Linked DNA regions of Oryctolagus cuniculus. The protein of the gene in region 1 interacts with the protein of each later gene in a biochemical or structural test. Links are inferred from orthologs where the notes say so. Each region holds a gene or a part of one and is shown on either strand. Other genes may lie near its edges.

Evidence for each region. The genes of interacting proteins can lie anywhere in the genome.
Region 2: the proteins of CDC25B (region 1) and YWHAB form a complex in vitro, tested with the Homo sapiens proteins (2 studies listed by BioGRID). The link is inferred for Oryctolagus cuniculus from reciprocal best matches to the Homo sapiens genes CDC25B and YWHAB.

What each region holds. Positions count from the first base shown.
Region 1 is NC_091442.1:29,126,786-29,130,878, reverse strand, and holds the start of CDC25B (M-phase inducer phosphatase 2), read right to left. Parts: upstream 2,801-4,093; 5' UTR 2,621-2,800; coding exon 2,421-2,620; intron 1,621-2,420; coding exon 1,499-1,620; intron 873-1,498; coding exon 821-872; intron 1-820. UniProt on the Homo sapiens protein: Tyrosine protein phosphatase which functions as a dosage-dependent inducer of mitotic progression. Directly dephosphorylates CDK1 and stimulates its kinase activity.
Region 2 is NC_091442.1:14,249,557-14,254,356, forward strand, and holds part of YWHAB (14-3-3 protein beta/alpha), read right to left. Parts: intron 3,278-4,800; coding exon 3,114-3,277; intron 2,246-3,113; coding exon 2,150-2,245; intron 1,190-2,149; coding exon 1,133-1,189; 3' UTR 1-1,132. UniProt on the Homo sapiens protein: Adapter protein implicated in the regulation of a large spectrum of both general and specialized signaling pathways. Binds to a large number of partners, usually by recognition of a phosphoserine or phosphothreonine motif.

The sequences.
Region 1 (4,093 bases):
CCCAATTCTCTCCCCATTTCCTGTTTGTGAACAAACTCTGCAGCCCAGCCCAGTCTGATCAAAGGCAACAGGAGGAACAGCAGTCATAGCCGCTGATGCCTTAAACCCACAGCCAGAGACCTCCAGCCCAGGAGAGGGATGCTCAGCTGTCCCTACTAATGGCTGGCAGCTGCTCCACCTGTTTGGGTCTTAACAGCTGGATGGGAACAGCTGTGCTGCGGATGGCATTACTCCTGCCCCCCCCCCCCCGCCACGACGGGGAGGTATCTGTCCACAGCAGAGCCCACCAGCTCTGTCCACTCCCTCTCTCTCACAAAGGACCTGGTCCAGGGCTTGGCCAGGGGTCAAGTGTCTGAAGCCAGAGGTTGCTGATGGGCCTAAGGCCCAATCAGTCTGCAAGCAACTGTATTGTGTTTGACACAGAGTGAATTAAAGCACTGAGTTAGTTGGAACATATTTTTAAATTGTGATTATTTCCTAGTTTAAAACAATGTGTAGAAGCAACAAAGGATAACAGGACACACATTGGACTTATGTTCCCATAGGACAAGGCCCAGCTGGGGTCCAGTACCCACTGCTCCCAGGGGCCACTGTCCCCACCACCCCTGGCCCCCGTCCACTTTCAGCCAGCTTTCTGAAAGCAGACACTTCTGAGACAGGAAGCCGAAGCCCAAGGCCAAGGCAGGTCACCGAGCCCTCTTTGTGGGGCCTGAGGACTCCTTCCACTCTCCCAGAGCTCTCCAGCGAGCTTTTGCTAGAACGGGGATTCCCAAAGGCAGGTGGCGACTCCTTTGTGTAGGGGTCCCCGGCATCTACTCACGTCTGCTCTGCCACCTGGGGGTCCACAGGGCTGGGCGAATCCATGCAGAGACCTGTGGGGACAGAGGGCCTGGGTTTGAAAGGGGTGACGTTCCCTACCTGTTTCCCCCCAGCATGTCCCAGGAAGGGGAGGAAGCCCTATTTCTGCTTTCCATCTGGACACACTTTAAAAAATGAGACAAGAACCTAGCCATGAGCTGACATGCTGTCCCCACACAACACAGGGCTCCACTCCCTGTTACTATGGGAACTCCTGTCCTATACATTTTAAAACCACAGTGCTTGCTAAGCATTTTTTTCATGAACTGGTTTAAAATAATTTGTTTTAGAAGAGATCACGGCTTCTTAAAGTTACAGACTCAGAGAATGCTGTAGACAGATCAGCTCGCAGGCTCCCGCGGCTCCCAGGTGGGGCTGTATGTGTGGTTTAAGGACTCTGGTGCCTGGTTTCGGATAGGTGAGATCTCCCCTCCCACAGAGGGCCCCACCCGGCCACCAGCCCGGGCTGGGTGGGTGGGTCCCGCCAGAGGTGTGTCTTCCTCCCAGTTTTGCAGGCCAAGCAGGGAGGCTCCCGGGCACACCAGGTTGTGGGAAGAATGTTAATCTGACCTTGCAGGGCATCCAGCAGCCCAGGCAGCCCCCCAAACTCAGACCTCCCCAACCACGTGTGGGGCCTCACCTGCATCAGAACACTCAGAGGAATCAGATGACAAGGAAGACTCGGATGCCCGCCGTGACAGGGACAGACGCGCCAGCCGGCTTCGGAAGAGCAGGCTCCCGGCCTGAGCCTCTGGGGTCTCACTGGGAGGGGAAGGGGGTACCAGAAAAGGAGAGAGGTAAATGCAGGCCTCCAGGCCCTCCCTGTTCTCAGTCACCCAGCTCTGAAGGGCCCACCTGCTCCTCAGGACAAGGAGGCTTAGCCCACCAAGTGCCTTCTCTTGGATGGCAGGCTTAGGAGAGGCCCTCCCAGGTGCAGGGCAAGTGATCACAGGGCGAGGGCAAAGAGGCTGGGGGCTGGCGTGGCGGTCAGTGGGGCAGCCGAGAGAGCAGCCCTGGGAGCCCTCTGCTCCTCAGACCCCTACCCATCCCAGGGCCTCCTTGGAGAGAGAGACCTGGGTCTCTATGGCTGCTGGGGGAAGTCAGCCCAGCCCCTGAGGCTTGCTTAGGGAACAGGATTAGGATTAATGACCTGAACCCTGGGGGCAGAAGCAGGGTGGAGGGAGCAGAGGCATGGGCCTGTGAGAACCCCACTGCTCTGCCACCCTCAACTTCCCCCTCCCGGCTCATATCTCCCCGCCTGGGGAAAATGGAGGAGATGCGGACAGAGATTGGGGTGGGGGGGGGCACCGTGGCCGAGTCACAGTAAGGGAGGGGGAGGGGAAGGAGGGTCCCTGGAGGCTTGCGCAGACCAAAGGGTCACCTGGAGGGTCTGATGCCCCTTGCCCAGGGCCCCTGAAGCAGGGGTAGGGACTCCCTCTGCGCTGACCCGGCCGCATCCCCACCCCACCTGTAGTGCTCAACTCCCACGCGCGGTTCCTCTGGAGCCGAAGGACCCCGTCCTGGTCTCTCACCCCACGCCCAGCCTCTGGGAGGCGTCCTACCTGCCGAGCCCCGCCAGATTATGCATGGTCTGTGTGAGGGTGGTGACCGGCGAGGAAGCGGCCGTGCGCTCCGGAGACCCCAGGAGATCATGAGACCCCAGCCGGAGGCCCGGGAGGTGGCCCGGACGCTGGACGCCACCGCGCACGCCGGCCGGACTAAGGGCCGAGCATGGTGCAGGCTCCGGCCGGGGCACCTCCATCGCGGCGGGGCGGGTGGAGGGCCTGGGGCCGGGAGCGGGCCCGGGGTTGGGGGAAGGGAGGGAGGGAGGAAGAGCAGTGGGACTGGGAGTGAGGGAGGAGAGGGATGCGGGGAGGGTGGGGAGGGGTGAGGGGCGCGGGACTCAAGCACCAGTCCGGGAAGCCTCTGACTGCAGCTGCCACCTCCACCTCCTTATATATTCGAAAAATAACAGCGGCCGCGCCGCCGGACGCCACCAATGGGGGCGCGGGTTAGAGGAGGGCGGGCCCGGGGGCGGGGCCCGCGAAGCAAGAGGCGCGGGGGCTGGACCAGCCCGGCCCGCCCAGCTCCAGCCTCGGGGGAGGCGGAGGAACTGGGGTCCATCCCACGGCTTGCACACCCGCCACCCCCAACCCGGGCGCGAGGTGGAGACCCCCCGAATCCCGCGCTCTGGGACCTAATGTGGAACCTTCCACCGACAGAGCGGGCCACAGGCCCCAGGGGGGTCCGGAAAAGAGGCACCCGGGGTTAACATCGCGCGCGAGCCCCAGGAGGATCCGGCACGTTTGCCAAGCACGGCGGCCCTGGGCGGGCTGCGTTCACCGTCCCATTTCACAGACGCGGATGTGGAGGCGTGAAGTTCATGGGCTTGTTCAAGGTCATGCATTTGGGAAAGTGGTGGGACCAGCCCTCGCTCGCTGCCCGACGCCCCTGACCCCGCCGGCTCCTTGCCCCAGCGTCTGGCAGCGCGGAGCAGCTCCAAAGGGTAATTCGTGGACCGAACGCCCAGTGCAGGCGGTGGGACGCCGGTGGGAGCCCGAGGCCGCCAGGGGCCCCGCTTTCTCTAGCAGTCCAGGGGAGGCTCTGACGGCTGGACTGGACCCGGGGCGTCAAGGAAGGGGCCAGCGACCAGAGAACTCGGTAATGGAAGTAGAACCTACAATGGTGGCTTGGCTCACTTGGTATCAATGGCATAGTATTGTTCAACTGGCGTTTCTTTGTAGAATCTGTCATTAGTTTAAATTGGGCATCTTCTAATTACCTAATCACCTCCCAGCTGAGCCCTTGTCTTCCTGGAATGAGGCCAAAGGGCTGCACCCCTTCTGGGGGGTACGCAGCGCACCCCGTCTCCCTGGGGAAGCGGCGACCTCCCGAGGGTGACAGGCTCAGGAGGGGAGCGCAGCTTGGAGGGAGGGGTCGCGAGCACCCGCGTCCCTTCCCTCGCTGCCCGAACCTCGCCCCTGGGTGAGGTTGGCGAAAGGGAGTGGCGGGGTGGGGGGTGGGGTGGCGCTGCAGGGTTGGGGAAGGAGAGGGGAGGCTCCAGTCCCACCCGAGAGGAGCAACTTTGAACATTCTGCCCAGCCCCGGTGCTGTTTCCTTTCATTCTCGGCAGTCAAGGGTCTGGCTCTGACCCTCCAGCCACCGCCCAGCCACCGGCTGGGAGGGATGGGGGGGGGAGGGGGGCTGTGCCTCAGGAGGCGACCCACCCTACCTA
Region 2 (4,800 bases), about 15 Mb from region 1:
TGGAGAACAATGGTCATGCTGGGAACTGGAGGAAGACAGAGCCAGGGTGCCGGGAGCCCTCGGAAGCAAGGCCTGCTCACCAAGGTGCTCACCAACATCTCTCACCCTCTGCCTATTTAGTATGACAAAGTGAACAAGAGAAAAAGAACTAGGAAAGAACAGAAGGAAGAAGGAGGACAGAAACTAAAGGGGGAAGAGAAACCCATGGTCAGCAGTTGGGAAGGACAGGGGGAAGAATGTTTAGGTTTCCAAATGTAAAAGCCCCGAGCTAGGAAGAACCCAAGGACTGAGTATTCTTCAAGTGAAAGGCAGTCTCTCCAGAACGCCGTTCCTACAGGTGTTATCCAGGACACGGGAAGGCCATCCATAAGACACACGGCTTTTTTTTTTTTTCTCCTTTAGCTAAGTGGTTACAAGGAAAACAGATTGCATCGTTCTCAAGTGGCAAGTGGGTAACATATTGCTGAAGGAAATGGGGTTCAGTCAGCGCTGTGTGAGCACTGGACCTTGTGCAGTGTCATAACCCAGTTATCTGCCTCAAAGAATTTTAATTTCAGGTTTTGAGTTTCCTCAGAGGATGACACCATAGACATTTGTGGTCATGAACTTTTGAGCCCAAACCAGTTACGTGTCCTTAAACCCTGACCAGGCAGAATTACTGTGAATTACCACTGAATTTGAACGCCAAATGGTGGTGTCTCGCTCCAAGTCCCAGCATCACAATATAGTTTCTATAACTTTCTGTACAACTTTACAATGGATTTGTACTTCAGTGACTATTTTGATATCAGATTAAACTTTCCAAAAGTTACACATAATTCAGGTCTTTTTTTTTTAACCAGTAAGAGTTCTGCTAAATTACAAAACCCCATAATCACAGTGTTCAGTTTTTAAAAATTAAACACACAGTAATCCTGTCAATGTTAATCAAAATCAAAACTTCAGAATGCCGTGGCATTTATGTGACCAATCTAGATTTAGATACAAATACCAGCTGTTTATCCCATAGACCATTTTTGCTAGGCTGAGGCTGTGAAAATTGAAAGTCAACGTACGATTCTTTTTATCGCACAAAGGGATGTATGTGGAGGGCACAGAGTGACACCGAACAGATCACAAAGCACGGCAGACATTAGTTCTCTCCCTCCCCAGCATCTCCTTCATCTCCCTGGTTTTCCGACGTCCACAGCTGCAAGAAAAAAAAAAAAAGCACAATAATCAAAGTAGGGCTATGAACACTTACTCAGGGAGGTGGCCCAGTCAATGTAATCTTATCTCACGGAATTATTTAAAATTCTTCCTGTATTACTGCAGTGACGATTGCAAAGGTCAAAACTCAAGTAGGGGCTGGCGCTGTGGCTCAGCAAGTTACACTACCGACTGCAATGCCAGCATCCTATATGGGCGCCTGTTAAAAGACTCCTGGCTGCTCCGATTCTGATCCAGCTCCGTTCCAGCATGCGCCTGGGAAAGCAGCCGAAGACGGCCCGAGTGCTGGGGTCCTTGCACATGAGACTCAGACGAGCTCCTGGCTTCTGCCTGGCCCAGCCCTGGCCACTGCAGCTATCTGGGTGTGAACCAGCGGATGGAAGATCTCTGTCTGCCTCTCCCTCTCTGTAACTTTAGCTTTCAAATAAATAAATCTTTAAAAAAATTTAACTACAGGCCGGCGCCGCGGCTCACTAGGCTAATCCTCCGCCTAGCGGTGCCGGCACACCGGGTTCTAGTCCCGGTCGGGGTGCCGGATTCTGTCCCGGTTGCCCCTCTTCCAGGCCAGCTCTCTGCTGTGGCCAGGGAGTGCAGTGGAGGATGGCCCAAGTGCTTGGGCCCTGCACCCCATGGGAGACCAGGAGAAGCACCTGGCTCCTGGCTCCTGCCATCGGATCAGCGCGGTGCGCCGGCCGTGGTGCGCCGGCTGCAGTGCGCCGGCCGCGGCGGCCATTGGAGGGTGAACCAACGGCAAAGGAAGACCTTTCTCTTTGTCTCTCTCTCTCACTGTCCACTCTGCCTGTCAAAAAAAAAAAAAAAAAAAAAAAAAAAAATTAACTACATTTAACAAGATAAGATCCCTCTTGAATCTTGGAGAACAGAGAATTATTAAGTAGATGGAAAGGAAACAGACTGAAAGCCCTCCAGAAGTAGCACTCACGGTGAGATTGTCTCTAAGCAACTGCATGATCAGGGTGCTGTCTTTGTAAGATTCTTCATTCAGTGTATCCAATTCAGCAATTGCTTCATCAAATGCCTAAAACAAAGAGCTGTTAGTAAAGAATCCAAGAATTCTCTGGAGCTGGTTTAACCCATTTCTTTTGCACTATTAAGTGACTATAATTTCTTTTCTTGTACAGAACTTCAGGGCAACCTGGGCTATTATTCCCTTGTTTGCTGGTTGCTTCAGCAAACATACAACGTACATTTACAAAGCAGTAATGAACAATGACAAATATTCACAGTAAGAACTGTTGTACCCTCTAAGTAAGCAGTATTACTAGTAGCCCTAGCACATTTACTATAGGCAAATTCACAATTCTTTAATTACCAAAGACATTTCTAGTACTTTTTTTTTTCATTCTTGCTTTAACTAATACTCAAAAGGTCTGGATACAAAGATTAAAGGAAGACGAGTGAAACTTTTATCACTAAATCTGATTTAACGGATACAACTCTGAGAATTCATTTCATAGTGTGCATATTGAAAGACAACAACAATATGTAGAAAAGACTGAAGAGAGGAGGTAATTCAGTACACGAAGCACATGTGGTGTGACTTGTTCCACTTACACAGCCACAGCCTCCCATCTCCATACAAGGATGACAACACGCAATCCAGGCCAAAACGTGACGAGAAACAAGAAACTATCTTCACCTGGAATTTTCTACAACTCCCTCTCCCAACAAAATGCAAAAAACAAGTGAAACAAAACAAAAATCAGGAGGAGTTATTGAGGAAAACAATTTAAAAAGGAAAAGGTCTATATTTGTCTCATGAAAGAAATAATCTCACTCCCAGAAAACCTTTAAAAAGTCCAAGACAGTGAGTATGTTCAGGAATAAAAAGAAGACATCAAAAGCAAAGTTTATCAGGACCTGCAACCACAGCGGGTCTGTCTTACCGTTTTTGCCAGGCTGCAAGCCTTTTCAGGGGAGTTTAGAATCTCGTAGTAAAAGACGGAGAAGTTGAGCGCCAGGCCAAGCCGAATTGGGTGTGTGGGCTGCATTTCTTTCTTACTTATTTCAAATGCTTCCTGGTAAGCCTGCTGGGAGTTCGATACAGTGGCTGTAAGAAAGATGAAAAAATATTAAAAGCTGAGTTCTTTCATAGGTTGACACTGAATCTGTCAAAGCAGGTCACAGCAAATGATCAATCACTTAAGTTGTCACTATCTCCACCATTTAATTATACATTTGTCAAATATTTACTTACAAACCAAGTACTATATTAAATGGGTGGGAGGACACAAAGACAATTATAGAAAGGTCTACCAAAGGAATTAAAAAACCAAGACACAACTTTTTTTTTTTTAAAAAAGATTTACTTTATTTATTTGAAAAGCAGAGAGATCTTCCCTCTGCTGGTTAACTCCCCAAATATGGCGAAGGCTGAAGCCAGGAGCCTCCTCTGGGTCTCCCATGTGGGAGGTAGGGGCCCAAGCACATGGGTCATCCTTGGTTGCTTTCCCAGTGCATCAGCAGGGAGATGGATGGTAAGTAGAGAGCTGGGACTTGAACGGGCGTCCCTATGGGACACTGGCACTGCAGGCGGTGGCTTCACCCACTATGCGACAGTGCCGGCCCCAGACTAACATTTAATAAAACAGAATATGGACAACAACATGCCCTGGGTAGAAGGTCCTATGCTTTATAGCCAACAGACCCAAACTTCAATTCTCAACTCTTACTAATTAAGTAGCCGAGCGCAAGTAAAAACCTCTGTGAGGGGCAGGTGTTTAGCCTAGCAGTTAAAATGCTCACGTCTCCCATCAGAGCGTCTGGGTTTGATTTTTCAGCTCTGGCTCCTAACTCTGCTTCCCTCTAATGCAGACTCTGGGAGGCAGTGATGACAGCTCAAATAATCAGGTTTCTGCTACACATGTGGGTAAACCTGGATTGAGTTCCTAGTTCCTGGCTTCTACCCTGGCCCAGCCCCAGCCACTGAGGGCCTTTGGTAAGTGAACCAGCAAATGGGAGCTCTCTACCTCTCTACCAACATATCCCCAACAAAACCTCTGTGAACCTTGGTTTCCTTATCAGAAAAATAGGTAGACTTTCATCTAAATTCAAAAGGTGGGGCTGATGCTGTGGCATAGCGGGTAAAGCCACCATCTATAGTGCCAGTATCCCATATGGGTGCAGGTTCAAGTCCCAGCTGCTCTGGAACACCTCTCTCTCTCTAACTCTGCCTTTCAAATAAATAAATAAATCTTAAAAAAAAAAAAAAAAGACTCGTAAGGTTACATGAATAATAAATGAGACTCTAATACACTTGTCACATAGTAGCACTTCCCTTATTCATGGCAGAATCTGTTCCAAGACCTTCAGTGAATGCCTGATTTTGCAGACATAATTAAACTATATAAACATAACACTCAGTTTTTTCCTATATATACATACATACCTATGATAAACCTTAATTTACTAATTAGTCACTCTAAGAGATCATGAAAATAATGATGAAATAATTATAATACACTGTAAGTCTGTACTTTGGAGCCACTATTGATAAAACATAAGTTATCTGAACACAAGTCCTAAGACACTGCATCATCCTTCTGGTAACCAAGATAACTACTAAGTGACTAG